2 linked regions of the Alligator mississippiensis genome follow. The protein of the gene in region 1 binds, or shares a complex with, the protein of each later gene. Links are inferred from orthologs where the notes say so. Each region holds a gene or a part of one and is shown on either strand. Other genes may lie near its edges.

Region 1 (6,873 bases):
TTGTCCAGCCAAATGAGAGATGCAAACACAACAGGTGTGTCCGCTGTCCCACGGCTAACGTGTTGTTTCCTTCTTTCTCCTGCATCTTTATTGACTCTTACATCTGATCTCCATCGACTGGAGGCCATCGGAGAATGGGGAGTTTCATGGCTATTGTAAGCCTGAGCTCATCCCCTGTTGGGGCACTGGTCTGCCATGCAGTGGAGGGAAGCACTGTTCCTACAGGAAGGTATGAGGCTGTGGAGTTACCTCCTCCTGCCTCTCTGGCTTTGTCCCCATGATTCTTTATTCCCAGTAATCCATGGATTGTAAACAGAGGTGGGAATAGGAGCTGCTGGGGTTGTGAGACCAGAGAGGGCCCAAGAACAGGCTAACCATTTATGAGATCCCTGGAAGCACGCCTCAGGTGAAAGGCATGACCTGAATTCCATTCAACAAAGGATTTCACCTGTGTGAAGCCCAATAACTTGGGTTTGTCTTCCAGAAAAGCATCCCACCCCAATCTGAAGATAAGAAACAAAGAACCCACTTTGTCCCGGAGGGTCCGCAACCTGTAAACTAGGATTTACAGCACATCAGGTCAGCCTTGGTGCATGTCCCCAAATGCACGTTAGTCTGGCTTGATGTGCATCAAGGTGCCACTTCTTAAGCAAGGCTTAATGCACATTAGCTTATTTGAATGCACAGGAAATAAAAAGCACAGGGCGCCTATACAGAGGCTGCTTCAATGCAGTGGAATTCCAGCACCTCAGAACAGACTTGATGAATCGAGTCTGGGCAGGGCCTGTTGCTGGAGCATGGCAACTGCTACACTTCAGCAGCACTGTACCTAGACTCCTGGCAGCTCTGGACGAACTTTCCCCCTTTGCAATAATAATTAAAAAATTACTGTTTTCAGGCCCCCTTTCTGTCCAGGCCCCAGGCGGCCACCCATTTTGCCCGAGCCCATAGGCAACTAGTAGGGCAAGCACAGGGGAGCACATGTCCCTGCTGCTGACACTGCCGGTGACTTCTGTGGGTGCTTGCCAGCTTTGTCCCTGCCACTGATGCCACTGGCAGCTTCTGCGGGTGCTCACCAGCTCCATCCCCGATGCTGATGCCGGCTCCTGCAGATGCTCGCCAGCTCCGTCCCCACCATCACCACCGCTGCCAGCTTCTGCAGGTGCTCCCCCAGACTTAGGAGGCACCAGTCGCCCATGTCCATGCCTGTGTCCAGCCCTGCACTCCAGCAGCCTCCTGCATCTCATGTATCAGTGTCCTGATGCTTAAAAATGGTGTTGGAACAAGCTTTAGTTCAAGCCCCCTTGACACTGTTTTTAAGCACAGGGATGCGATACAGAAGACACAGTAGCTATTGGAGCTGCTCTAATTAAAGTGCCATCTCCCCCACCAGAGCACATGTAAAGGTGACCACAGTTTTTATGTGATGCTTTATGTGCATTAAAATAGGCTAATGCACATTAAAGTGCACATGTAGGTGTAGATGTGCCCACTGAGTACCTTTTCTGGTCCTTCACAATTTGGGCCCGATCCAGTACACACCAAAGTCAAAGGAAAGACTCCTGGAGACATGGACAGCTCTTTCCTTTGAGACTAGCCAGAAACTGAGGAAGATATAATAGTCATCATGTGTCAAGGCCTGTGATGTTGAAACTAAAAATGGCAGGTACATTGTTCTACCAATAAAAAGCTCAGCCTATTTGGCATACCAAAAGGAGAATCTGCTGGCAGTCAGGATATTATGTTCAGGTTCACAATATGATCCCACCTGTGTCCCTGGGCTCTTCAGGCTTGGTCCCCACTCAGAGATACCTAAAGGCAGGGCAGGAATAAATCATGAACCAAGCAAGCCTGGGGCTGGTACCCAGCTCTTGGAGTCATCTGATGATGCTGGCAAAAGAGAAATAGACTGATAGGGCTCCCCGTATGGCTTCCAAAAATGAGAACCCCCCCAAAAGAATAGTTTCTAAAGCAGCAAGACCAGGCATGTCAGGCAAAAGTCCTTGGACTGTGTCTCTGCCAGAGAAGAGCAGGTTTGGATTCAAAGGACCCTAAAGCAGTGGTTCTCAACCTTTTTTGTACCAGGACCCATTTGTAAACATCAATGGCCAGTCTCTGCCCAGTGCCCTTCACTCCTGACCCACTTCCCCCTGCCCCCCAGTGTGTGGGGCAAGGGGTGTCTATGGAGCATGGGGAGCCCCAAACAGCCTGTTGCAGGCTGGAGCTCTGCCAGCCTGCAAGGGAAAAGGCACAGTTTCCTATGTTTTTCTCTTTTAAAGGAGAACCCATTTTTAAAGTTTGTTCGCAACCCTTTCAAATATTCTTTTGATCCACTTTTGGGTTGCGACCCATGGGTTGAGAAACACTGCCCTAAAGGACAATCTTTGTGCCCCACTTCTGAATTTTTCAAGCATGCTGGTCTAGGAACACTGTCTGCTCCTTTTCCCAATTGTACTTGTGTCTAGGCCTTTGGTCTTTTATTTGCTGGGAAGTTTCTTCCATCATTTCAAGCATCTGTGCATGCACCCTGAGAATCCCCCAGGCCAGGACTCTGTGGGGCACTTGCCTCTCTTCTTGTGGAACCCACCAGGTGCTACCAACACTCAGAGGAAACCAGCATATCCCACATGCATAATGCCAGAACTATTGAGCATTTTTACATGCGTTTCCACCCTGGCGCTGGGCGCTTTTAATTAGTGAGCCGTGCTAATTAAAAGCACCTGGTGCCACGTCAGGAGCACATGTATCAGCAGTGCAGCGTGCCTCTGCACTGAGAAAATAGCAGCAGTGCACTTTGAACTAAAGCACATTGAACGTGTTTTAATTCAAAGCGTACCGCCACCATTTTCTCAGCGCAGAGGCACGTTGCATGTGACACGCAAGGCTGCCAGAGCATGTCAATTTACATAAATTTGATCCAGCAGAGTTGATTAATTGAATCTATGCTGGCGTGCTGGATTTCCAGTGCATCGGAGCAGGCTCCTTGCACGTGTGTAAGTGCTCATTCTATCAGGCTACAGAGCATCTTGCAGGGCATGAACCTTTGGGCATAAATACACATGGGCGACTGGTGCCTCCTGAGTTGGGCGGGCACTTGCCCCCCCCTCCCCCCAGTGGCCAGTCAGCGACCTAAGTGGGGAATGCTGGCTGTGTGAGGGGTGCATGTGCACCCATTTGCGCCACTGTTTATACACATATTTTTCTGTCCCATGACCAGCTGGAGATCCACTGCTTCAGAGTCTGCTCTACAGGCGAGCTGAAGCAAACCGCGCTGCACCCTGTGCAGCTGTACAAGTGGTAAAATGTGCATCAGTGCACAGAAAATGGCAACGGAGAACTTTTGAACGAAAGCACCTCCAATGCGTTTAGTGCGCCACTGCCCTTTTCTCAGCGCTCACGCTCATTTTGCCACTTATACAACCTCAAGTGTTGCAGTGCTGGGCGCTTTTCAAAGTGCCCAGTGCTGCGGTGTTTGGATGTGTAAAATGCCCTTTGTGATTGGGGAATAATGGGAGACGAGGTTCTTTGGGTAAACACGATATTTTTTATTAGACCAACTAATGAATAAATATGAATTTATCAGGCCAACTAACGAACAATAAAATTTGTTTTTAATAATAATAAATGTTTTTCCCCCAGTTCATTGGGTAACAAAGCCACACAGGAGCCCCCTCCCCTGGCTGGCTGCCCGCACGGCAAGCCACCACGCTCCAAGCAGGACACCGGCCCCTTGCGGCAGTGAGGTCCGCGCCTGCGTCTGAGGAGCTGCTCAGAACTGCTGGCAAGAACGGAGAGTATGCGCGCATGCGCCAGCGCTGGGAGGCAGGGAAGGGCGTACGCTCCGTGCGGCTTGACGTTGCTACGCACGCACGCACGCACGTGAGGCGCCCAGTTCCCGGTCGGAGCGCGGAGGCCGCTGTCGGAGTGGCGACTATGTCGGGGGCGGCGGGCTCGGCGGGCTCGGCCCGCAAGCGGCTGATGAAGGAGGAAGACATGACCAAGGTGGAGTTCGAGACCAGCGAGGAGGTGGACGTCACGCCGACCTTCGACACCATGGGGCTGCGCGAGGACCTGCTGCGCGGCATCTACGCCTATGGTGCGCGGCTGGGGCAAGCCGGGGAGGGGGAGCAGAGGGCAGCGCGTGCCGGGCCGTGTGCGCACGCGCGGAGCTTCCCGGGCCCGCGCGCGCCCCGCTTCCGCCCTGCCGGGGAGCCGTCCTACCCCTGGCCCTAGCGATGTTTGACAACCCTTGATCCTCTCGGGTTATGGTGTATGCACGAGAGGTCGCCCAGAGGAGATTTGGGCTGGTCAGACCTTGCATCCCCCCCTTTAGGGCACTGAGACAGAATCCAAAGGTCAGACTGGGTTTAGGCGCTTGGTGCCTCTGTGACTGTATTTGTGTAAGCATCTGGGATTTGAACCCAGGTCTCCTGTATGGGTGATAAGGAGTCTATTACTGAACCACAGGGGCCTCCAACGGGAGGTGTAGGAAGACATCAAACAACATGGTGTCAAGTTTGTTCTTTCTAGAGAGCCCAATGTGGGGGAGCTATCCAAGAAGAGAGAAGAATGTGGACACAGTTTGCTGAGAGACAATGCAAGTTGCAATTCTAGGGTTTCTCTGGACATAGCAGCTAAATGATTGCAGTGCACTGCTATCCTGTGCACTTTTGTATCACTTTAAACTAGGCTAATATTGCTGCAGCTTGTTACATCTGCAGAAGTCAGCTGTGCTGAAGTGGGGCAGGTGCCCCTATGTACAAGTGTCCAGGCACCTTTGTACTGACCTAACCAAACTGGCTGAAAACCATCAAGTTAATGGAACAGTCCCTACGTCAGTGCTTCCCAAACTTTTTCTCAGCATGACCCCACTTATGACTCCATTTCCTCAGCATGGCCCCCCACTCCCAACCCAGATCCCTGTTTATTGCGACCCCATTTGCTGATGTTGCGACCGCATTTGGGGTCACGAACCACAGTTTGGGAACTGCTGCCCTACGTGCTTCTGAAAACCCACTTCTTACACTTGGCTTCACACATCAGCTTTCAAATTATTTGAAGCGCTACTTCTGTGCACCTGTGAGCAGGCATTTAAAAAGGTGTCTTATATTATTTCAAATGTTGCAGGTTTTGAGAAGCCATCGGCGATCCAACAGAGAGCAATCAAACAGATCATTAAAGGAAGAGATGTGATTGCACAGTAAGTGAAATTATGTGATTGAAGGAAGAAAATAATATAACATGTTTGTCTTTATAAAGTGGTAGAATGATGTACCCGTGATGATCCAGGAATTATGCAGGCGGCAAATTCTGATGAGAAGTGTCTTGTATTCAAAAGCTTGTCTAAATGTATTCCAACCATGCAGATGGGCCAATAAGATATCACCTACACAAAATCCTTGCCCCTCACATATCTTTATAAAGGTGCTCCACACAGGAAAGAATCAGTTGTTTATTTTTTTTAATATAAGTATTAAAGTATAACCAAGGAATAATATAACAGTTATGGATATGTTTTTTAGAACTCAGAGTTGCCTATTTTAACATTGTAGTTCAGTGATCTACAGCCTTTTTAAGGTGAAGATCACTCTTTGAAGTAAAGGGCAGTCCAGGATCTATTGTGCCCCACTCCCACCATCCTCCCACCCAGCAGGTCAGTCTGTAGGAGGAAGGGGGGTAGGGGGAGGCAGATCGAGGTCCCCACGGTGAGGGAGGGAGGGAGTGGGGCAGGAGGGAGTGGGGTTTCGGCTGGGCTGGGGAAGGGTTGGAGCATGGGTGGCTTGTCCAGGCACATAGTGGGGGTGTGCTGTTGCACTCGCCCCTATGGAGGCCCGGGGGTATGTGCCCCCCCCCGATCTGTGCACAGGGCGAGGTGGCTGCTGCTGCACACTGGGCTTTGTGCCCCAAGCTGCAGCAGGGCTCGGGGCACAAAGCCTAGCATGCAGCGGCTGCTGCCTCACCCTGCACACAGATCGTGGGAGCACATGCTCTCCGGGCCTCCATGGGGTGCATGCAGCAGAGGGAGACCCCCCGTGCGCCTGGATGAGCCACCCTGGGCTCTGACCCTCCCCCAGTACAGCCGGGGCTTCTGTCACCAGGTGGCAGGGGGTGCGGAGGAGGATTGTGTCACTCATCCAGCCTGGCCCCAATGACGGGGCATGGCTCAGCCCAGCCACATGCATCCTGCTGCTCCCCACGTGTGTCCCGCTCCTCCTTATTGCGGAGCCTCTGACAGTTGATCTTAGTCTGGGTGGGCTAGCAGCCACCCCCTCTTCCCCCCAGACTGAGATCAACTGTCAGGGACTTCCAGACCAACCAGTTGATTGCAATTGACTGTTTGGTGATCACTGTTATAGTTAATACATTTTTGGTAGTGTACACAAGCAGTCAGCAAGAAGATATATAGGATGCTTCACCACGGTGTTGTAAGGAATATGGCACAATAGTTAAATGCACTGTAAGTGTGAGAACTCATCCACATGTTAACTCCTGAAACTTGTTATAAATGCAAGCATTGGGGAAAGTAAGTGCAGTTGCATCCACAATATTAAATCCTTATTTTGATAAGCTCCCCACCCTGTTTTCAACTGTAGCTGACAAGCAGCTGAGATGGGCTTTGCAGTTGATCTTTTTTGTCAACCAGGCATATCTGGTGGCTTTAAGTTGAACTACATGAGGAGAAAAAGCTTGTTCTTCTCTCCTTGATAATGAGTCATTCATGGAGAAGTAGGGCTGGATGGGACCTCCAGAGGTCATCTAGTCCAACTCCGTGCCTGAGGCAGGATTATCTCTATCCAAACTATCCCATAGATTGATGGATTGAACACTCAACAGCTTTTTAAAAAATCTGCTTGTTTTTGTCTATAGGAGTTT
Region 2 (7,505 bases), on another chromosome or scaffold:
GGGAACTGTTTGCGGTCTTGCTTATTGGACATGATCCTGCAAGACAACTAGGTAAATATCCAGCTAGTGGTAGAGAGAAACTTGTGCTCATGGTACAGGTCAGCACCTTCGAAAAGGGAGGCATAAGAAAGGTATACAGAAAGCTAAATTCAGATCAGTAAGAAAAACACATAAATCTATGACTGTACAGTATTAATCCCCCAAACACTTACAACACTAAGGGAGCTTCAACTCCCCAATACATTAAAAAAAATTCTGTAAAGAGGAGGAATTTGCCTCTACAGACAGAAAGGATGGACTCCCTTAATCAATATAGACCACCTGTTCAGAAAATGATATGGAGGATTATTTAAAAACTGGGAGCTGTGGAAAAGCCAACTGATACAGAGAAGCATGCAGCTGAGAGACACCTCTGCTGCAGAGGTCAATAATAGAAGTGTAACTTTGCATCTAGCACAGGAAGGGACAGAACTGGAGAAATTCAGACCAGAGGCAAAGTGCAGGGAAGAAAGAGTATCAGACTATGGAATTAAATAAAAATAGGTTTGTACTGAAAATAAAAACTGCCTGCATAATGAAGTAAAAACCAGGCACATCAGCAGCCCTGACAACAGAAGAGATACTTGAAACAAGAACTATTAAAATGCGGTGGACTAGCAAAGTGCAGTGGTAGTACAAGGCTCTCAGTTGCACAGGAAGGACAGCTGGCCTGGAGAGGTCGGAGCATAGCACCATCCCAAAGGAGCCCATCACATTCTACTGGAAAAGGGGAAGAGAAGCACAAGCCCCACCCCTACCTATTTTACCACTGGCCTCAGCCAGGAAAAGATACCACAATCACAAATAAGAAACGGCAAGTGTGTCAAAAGCAAAAAGCCAGAAGAACTAGCAGGTCCACTGAAAGCTCAAGAAAGGCAGAAGAGGTGTTTATAGCTAAGCCTCGTGGCCCCTGAAACCTATCAAACAACTTGGGATTCATGGGGCTGACAGGGGCTTTGAAGTCACAAGATTTAATTTCAATGCTATTTTGTTTGGCATTGATTTCTGACCAAATCAATCCCACCAGTCCCAACTGTTTCACAATTTTTAAATCATGAATTAAGGGTTAAGCAATATATTTAGCATCTGATCTATTGTCTTGATGCTCTGATGAAGACTTACTCACTTGCTACAGAATGTTAAAACAGCAGTAACCTAATCAAGCTGAAGTTATTAAATTAGAAGGCCAGCCCCAGGCCACCTCCTGAGCAACTTGCACATACAGATTCTTGTTGCCACAGCAGTAAGGGTGTGACTAAAAAAAGGATCATCTGTAGCTCTACTTTCTAGTTAGCCCAATAATTATTCTGACCATAATCTGCTATAATGGAGATATGCAAAAAGGGTCACTGGGCTCCTGTGACCTGTTAGTTCCTCCCTACCTGTTTAATAACCAGGGTTTAGTCATTTCTTTGGTGCCTGCAGACAGTCTGGAGCATACCACAGCAAATGCTAGACACAAATCTTAAGATAAAAACACTTTGGATTTCCCCTAGAACAAAGCCTTTTACTCTGGGATCCTACAGGACCATCATTCCACCCTAAGTACCTGTGAAGAATTGAGGTGGTATTTTTTCCTGAGGTCACCCGGGGCTAATTGAGTTAATCACCATTCAAGCCATACATCAATTTAATCTGGGACTGATTAGTCTGAGATCTGACTCCCATCAAAAAAGAGGTGGGACAATGATTTAATTTGAATAAACCACACTGTTCTGGGGCAAACTATTAATCTGGATATTTTCCAGGTACATATTCATTCATGGTAATAGAAAAGTAAGGCTGGAAGGGATCGCCAGAGGTCATTTAGTCCAGTGGTTCTCAACCGTCTTTGCACCAGGACTGATTTGTAAACATTGATGGTCAGTCCCAAAACAGTGCCCCTCACTCCGCACCCACTGCCTGCTACCCCCCCCAATGTGTGGGGCATGGGGGACCCCAAGCAGCCCAGACCTCTGCCACCCTGCAAAGGAAAAGCCACTGTTTCCCACGTTTTTCTCCTTTAAAGGAGAGTCCTTTTTTGCAGTTTGTTTGAGAAATGCTGATCTCCTCCCACACCCTGCCTGAGGCAGGATCACCCCTATCCAAACCATCATCTAAACGCTGCATAAGACCCAGGGTGCAACACTAGGAAAAAAAAACACCCTGTGTGAAGGAAGTATCCAACAACCAGCACAGCACTTAACCGAAAGTTACAATCTTTATAAATTCTCAGATGGGTAAATGGAATCTGCACATCGAGTGATAACACCAGACAGCCGCTAATGGATCTGCACATTGATGCCAGACGGAAGAAGAGAAGACACCAACCCAAGGCTTTTAAAGATCTGGGTAGACAAAGCCTTGGCTGGGATGATCTAGGTGGGGCTGGTCCTGCTCTGAGCAGGGGGCTGGACTAGATGTCTCCCAAGGTCCCTTCCAGGAAGAGTTTTCTATGGCTCAATGCCAAGGGGCTCGTCTGCAAAGGGCTGGGGTCTGCTGCAAAATAAACCTGCTCAACTCAAGAGGCATGAAGAAGAACACCTCTTCCCGTGGGACAGTGGGGGCTGATTCGAGCTTGCTGTCGGCTAGCAGGGACGTGCAGGCCTGGTCTGGGCCCCCTGCCTAGGCGGGGTCGGGGCTGGCACCATCTTGACGCCTGCGGCGATGCCGTGCTCGGCTCAGCGCCCCCGACAGCTCCGAGTCCCCCCGCGGTGACCACCCCCCCGCCGCCTCACTCACACACTCGGACTCGGGCGGGCTGTTGGCGGCGCCGGCCGCGCTGTCGGCCCCCCGGGTGCGGGCCGCGGGGGGGCCGGGCCCGGGGCCGGGGCTAGGGCCGGGGGCGGCGCGGTGCAGCGGGCAGGGGGAGGCGGAGCGGGCGGCGCTGCCCGCCGAGTCGGCGCTGTCGGACGCCGCCGAGTCGGAGTCGTCCTCGCTGTCCTGCGAGGCGCGCTGCCGCCGCCTGTCCGCCATCTTGCGGGCAGCCTGCCTGGCGCCGCGGGCGCGCGCGGGGGCAGACGGGTAGGCCCGCGGACTCCCGCTCCCGGCGTGCACCGCGACCACGCCCCCCCCCTCCTGCGCCTGCGCGGGGAAGGGGACGAGGCTTGGAAACTGCAGCTCAACGGCTTCCGGCCTACGCTATCCCAGGGCCCTTTGCGGCCAGACTCTGGTCACCCCCGCAATAGGGAGAAACCGGAAACCCGCCCCGACGTGCCCACGTGGCCTTTTACATCAGGGGCTCAGGAAGAGGCGGGGTATGATGCCATCACACTCCAGCTGAATGACGTCATCAGCCTACTTCGCTGTCCCCGGGAGGACTTGTCTCCTAACAGGGGTCCCTGGTTCTTGGCTCCCGCTCAGCAAACACGGGGGGGGCACCCAGCCACCCCCCCAGTAGTGGCACAGGCACACCCCTGTTCTTGCTGGGAAAAATCTTTCTGGGGGTTCATTCTACCAGAAATATTTCCCATATCAGTTCCTCGGTGACTTTCTAGGTTGTAATTATAATGTATTATTACCGCAAGATTTCAAGGCTGCTCAGTTTGCAGTTAAACAAAAACAAGGGAGATAGAAGCAGCTGTCACAATTACAGAGGTATTTCCCTGTTGAACATCCTCAGAAAAGTCACTGACATTATGGTACCCAAACTGCTGTCTCTAGGTGAAATAATAACCTGAAAGTCAGTGCAGTTTTCACTCCACCATTGATAACAATATTTTCAGTCAAGCAACTGCAGGACACGTGTAGAGAAAAACAACTACCACTGTACATAGCTTTCATCTCCCCAACAAAGGTCTTCGATAACAGTCAACAGACAGGGCCTTTTTACTGTTCTGAAGAAACTAGGTTGTTCCCCTAAGCTGTTGAACATCATTTGTTCTTTACATCAAGGTATGAAGGCAACTGTAGCGTATGAAAACAGAATCACACACCTTTGACGTCAACAACAGGGTGAAATGGCTGTTTTAGCCCCCATGTTCTTTAACATCTACTTTTCATTCCTGTTTCTTCATGCATTCAAGGACAGTGATGATGACATTTATCTTTGAACCAGACTAGAGGCTTGTTCAACATGTAAGGTGTAGAGCAAAAACCAAGGTGAAAGAGCTATTTCTTAAGAGATTTCCTGTTTGTGGATGATGCAGCCTTGGTTGCCTACAGTGAATCTTCCCTGCAAAAATCTCTTGGGCAGATTTTCTGAGTCATGCAGGAGCTTCAGGTTGAGACAATTAGTCTCACAAAACCTATCGTCATGTACCAAAGCCGGGGAAGAATTAATACCTAATATAACTCTGGGGGGTAAATCTCTTGGCGTCATCGACAGCTTTTGTTACTTGGGTTCTACAACCAACAGGAATTTTGACCTTCAGACTGAACAGAATCAGAAAAGCAGCTAAGAATTTTGGCCTATTACAGAAATGTGTGTGGAGTAACAGCAAAATGTCATCTAAGGTGAAGCTGCGAATCTACAAGGCTTGCATACTTGTCATCTCTGCTTTATGGTTCAGAAACAGACTACATATGCTAGGCACATCAAGAGACTGAACAGTTTCCATATGAGATGCTTACATAAGATCCTGAAAATAAAGTGGGAAGACAAAATACCAAACACAGAGGTGCTGGAGTGCATAGGACTGACACACTTAGAAACCACTATCAAGAAGAGAAGGTTGCGATGAGTCAGCCATGTCAGGAGAATGGGAGGAGACTATATCCCCAGGAATATTTTGTACTGTGAGATTCAAGATGGCTCTAGAAAGCAGGGTTGCCCTCTATGGCAGTACCCGGTGTGCAAAAATGCTATGAAGTCATTCAACGTTAATGCAGAAAGCTGGGAGAAGCGTGCAGAATCCTGTCCAATCTCGAGGGAACATCTGGCACTGGGTGCAGCACAACATAAAGTCACTTTGATCCAGAGGATGGAAGCAAAGCAAGAAAGGACGCAGTGTGCTATAAACCTGGACTCTAACTCAGACAACACGTGGATCTGTGAAACTTGTAACAAGCTGTGTTGTTCTCAAATTGGGCACAAGTAGATTCATCACACACCTAACTAGATCTCTTATGCAAACACCATGATCTAGAAGATCAACAGTTGCCTAGAATATTACTACTCATTTTTTTGCTTTCCTGGCCTATAATTTTCAGCCAGAAAAAGAGTACCTGCAGTTCCCACAGACATGGCAACTTTGGGCCAGTAGTGGGGGCCATGGTAGCTATCTTCCTCAGTCTCCAGTAAAGAGAGGCCTGAACAGGTATAGTGAAGCTATAGTTTAGGTGCCAGGGTAACTCCAAACAAGCCACACTGATGACACTGTTCCTGTGACATTATCTTCTGAACACACTTGTTTCCCTCCTCGTAAATCCAGGTAATCCTCCACCTCTTCAACAATAGGTCTTTATCTCTTGCCACATTCAGCATTTAAGTGCAGGAAGAGCAGCCCCTGAACAGCTGTTATCAACCAGCAGCAGCATCTCTCTGCCTTTTCACATGTCCCTTGCTTAAACTGTGTAAAAGAAGAAAAAAGAATGCATGTCATAGGCTTGATAAATTGTATGTGAAACAATATGCTAGGATATGCAGGCATACATTGACAAACCATCTAGATAACAGTGGTTAGAGACAAAGCAGGCCCCAGGAAAGCTTGGAAGTTAAACTGAAATAAAAACAGTTTCAGGAAACATTTTCTGTTTCTTAAATATTTGTTGTCTTTTAAAGAAAACTGGTTGTGGACTGCAGACTAATTTTAGAAATGTTCTTAATTTTTCTCCCTACACAAAAGGCAAGAAAAATAGCAAGCCAAAATAAGGGTTTGAGACAATCTGCCTTTCAACACATGCTAGGTTAAGATACCTTCTCACCCCCAATAGAAAAGTACAGCTGTCTGCCTCATGCATGTTTGCCGCTTTGGGAATAGTGTTACAAGCTTCAGAAATGTCTTTGCTTCTGTAACAAGTCTTGAATTATATACATGAAGAAAAAGGCAATCACCAGATTTATATTTTTTCTATTTTATTGTAAAAAAATTGGTTTCAATTCTTTAAACATACAAGCAGAATTGTTTAATACTCCCCATTAACACTGTTAAATCTAACAAACTGAAGCAGAAATTCAAAAAAAAATTAACAGCCACAATAGTTTTTATTTACAAATTGAACTTTTTATAAGATATTTACAAGACAACCATTTTACACATTAGAAATGGTATCAAAAGTATGCATTACAACAGACAACCATGTGTCAAATGGCCATAAAACAAGGCTGAAGAGTAAAGACAAGCTTTTAATTTTAATTTTTAAAAGGTTTTTAAGTTTTCTGACACTAGTTTAAAACTTGAATTAAAAAAAAAAGCAAGGTTTTAAACCAAAGAATAGTTCTAGGAGGGAAATTGCAGGGCTTTCTGTTGAGGATTGAATTTCACAGTGTTGTACCCCATATTGGGAGAAATAAGACTATCTTTCCACACTAACACTCAACTGCAAGTTTTGTTTTGTACTCCCCCACCCCAAAGCCTACTTCTGGCCCATCCCCACCCCTCCCTTTTGCTGATGAAAAGCCAATATATTAGTAAAAAGGACTGTTACAAAGCCTGGTTGCCTGTCTAAATGGCATGATGATGAAGAGTTTCAAAATGGCTTTGCACTGGGAAGTAAGGCCAGTTCAAGACTAGCAAATCAGAGCTGACTGTCACTGGAATTCAAAAAGGTGTTTTGCCCCCTGAAAAAAGCCACTAAGGCAAAGTATAACCAGAATACAAAACCTGCTCAATGCAGACCTGAAAAATGGACGTCATCAAGGAAAAGGGGGAGGGGGGGGGCAGCACACAGGGCAGGGCAGGGCTCCAGCTAGTATTTGCCTGTTTTACATTTTGGCTCCTAATTGCACAGGAATCCATTGAGGACACATGCTATCATGCTAAAAGCAGGACACTCAAGAACAGCCTTATTAAAAGGAAAAAAAAAAGGATGCAGTGTATAGCCCTATTTATGCAACCTCTGTAGCACCAGAGCCCATACCTCACAAGAGATTTTCCCCTCTAAAGGTGTTTTAGCCTCTCTTCCAGACTCCATGACTGCCTCAACTTCAGTATAAAAACGCAACTGTGTTAAGTTACAGATTCAGCCTCTCTTCCACATTGCATAATGATACCCCAGATATGGGGGGTTGGGGGAGGTGGGGGGAAGAAAAAAAGCAATGCCTTTTGTGTTTCTCTATTGTTTATCAAGTTGTTTGTGCCAAGCAGGAAAAAGAAGATCACTGTCTTTACACAACACTCAAAAGGAATCATTCAAGTGGGTCAACTTCTGTGGCCTGCTAACATCTTCAATACAAAGTTAACATTTTCACCCTTATACTAAAACTCCTCCCTGGACCCTTCCCCCAGCCACACGCCCTGCAGAGGTACCACTGCAACTCTCAATCAGACAGGTAAGTGCAGCAAAAGAGTAGGGGGAACATGGTCTTTCAAATCCAAAGAATCCGT

What was found.
Region 2: the proteins of EIF4A3 (region 1) and CASC3 are in contact, whole or in part, in a crystal structure (PDB 2J0U), measured with the Homo sapiens proteins. The link is inferred for Alligator mississippiensis from reciprocal best matches to the Homo sapiens genes EIF4A3 and CASC3. Residues at the interface, in NP_055555.1 of Homo sapiens: Thr178, Arg179, Lys198, Ile201, Tyr202, Tyr205, Arg206, Tyr207, Leu208, Pro209, Pro210, Thr212, Lys231, Phe232; in NP_031385.2 of Homo sapiens: Arg217, Trp218, Glu219, His220, Asp221, Lys222, Phe223, Glu225.

What each region holds. Positions count from the first base shown.
Region 1 is NC_081824.1:234,479,381-234,486,253, forward strand, and holds the start of EIF4A3 (eukaryotic initiation factor 4A-III), read left to right. Parts: upstream 1-3,865; 5' UTR 3,866-3,933; coding exon 3,934-4,096; intron 4,097-5,127; coding exon 5,128-5,200; intron 5,201-6,873. UniProt on the Homo sapiens protein: ATP-dependent RNA helicase. Involved in pre-mRNA splicing as component of the spliceosome. Core component of the splicing-dependent multiprotein exon junction complex (EJC) deposited at splice junctions on mRNAs.
Region 2 is NC_081827.1:164,600,482-164,607,986, forward strand, and holds the start of CASC3 (protein CASC3), read right to left. Parts: upstream 3,019-7,505; 5' UTR 2,995-3,018; coding exon 2,761-2,994; intron 1-2,760. UniProt on the Homo sapiens protein: Required for pre-mRNA splicing as component of the spliceosome. Core component of the splicing-dependent multiprotein exon junction complex (EJC) deposited at splice junctions on mRNAs.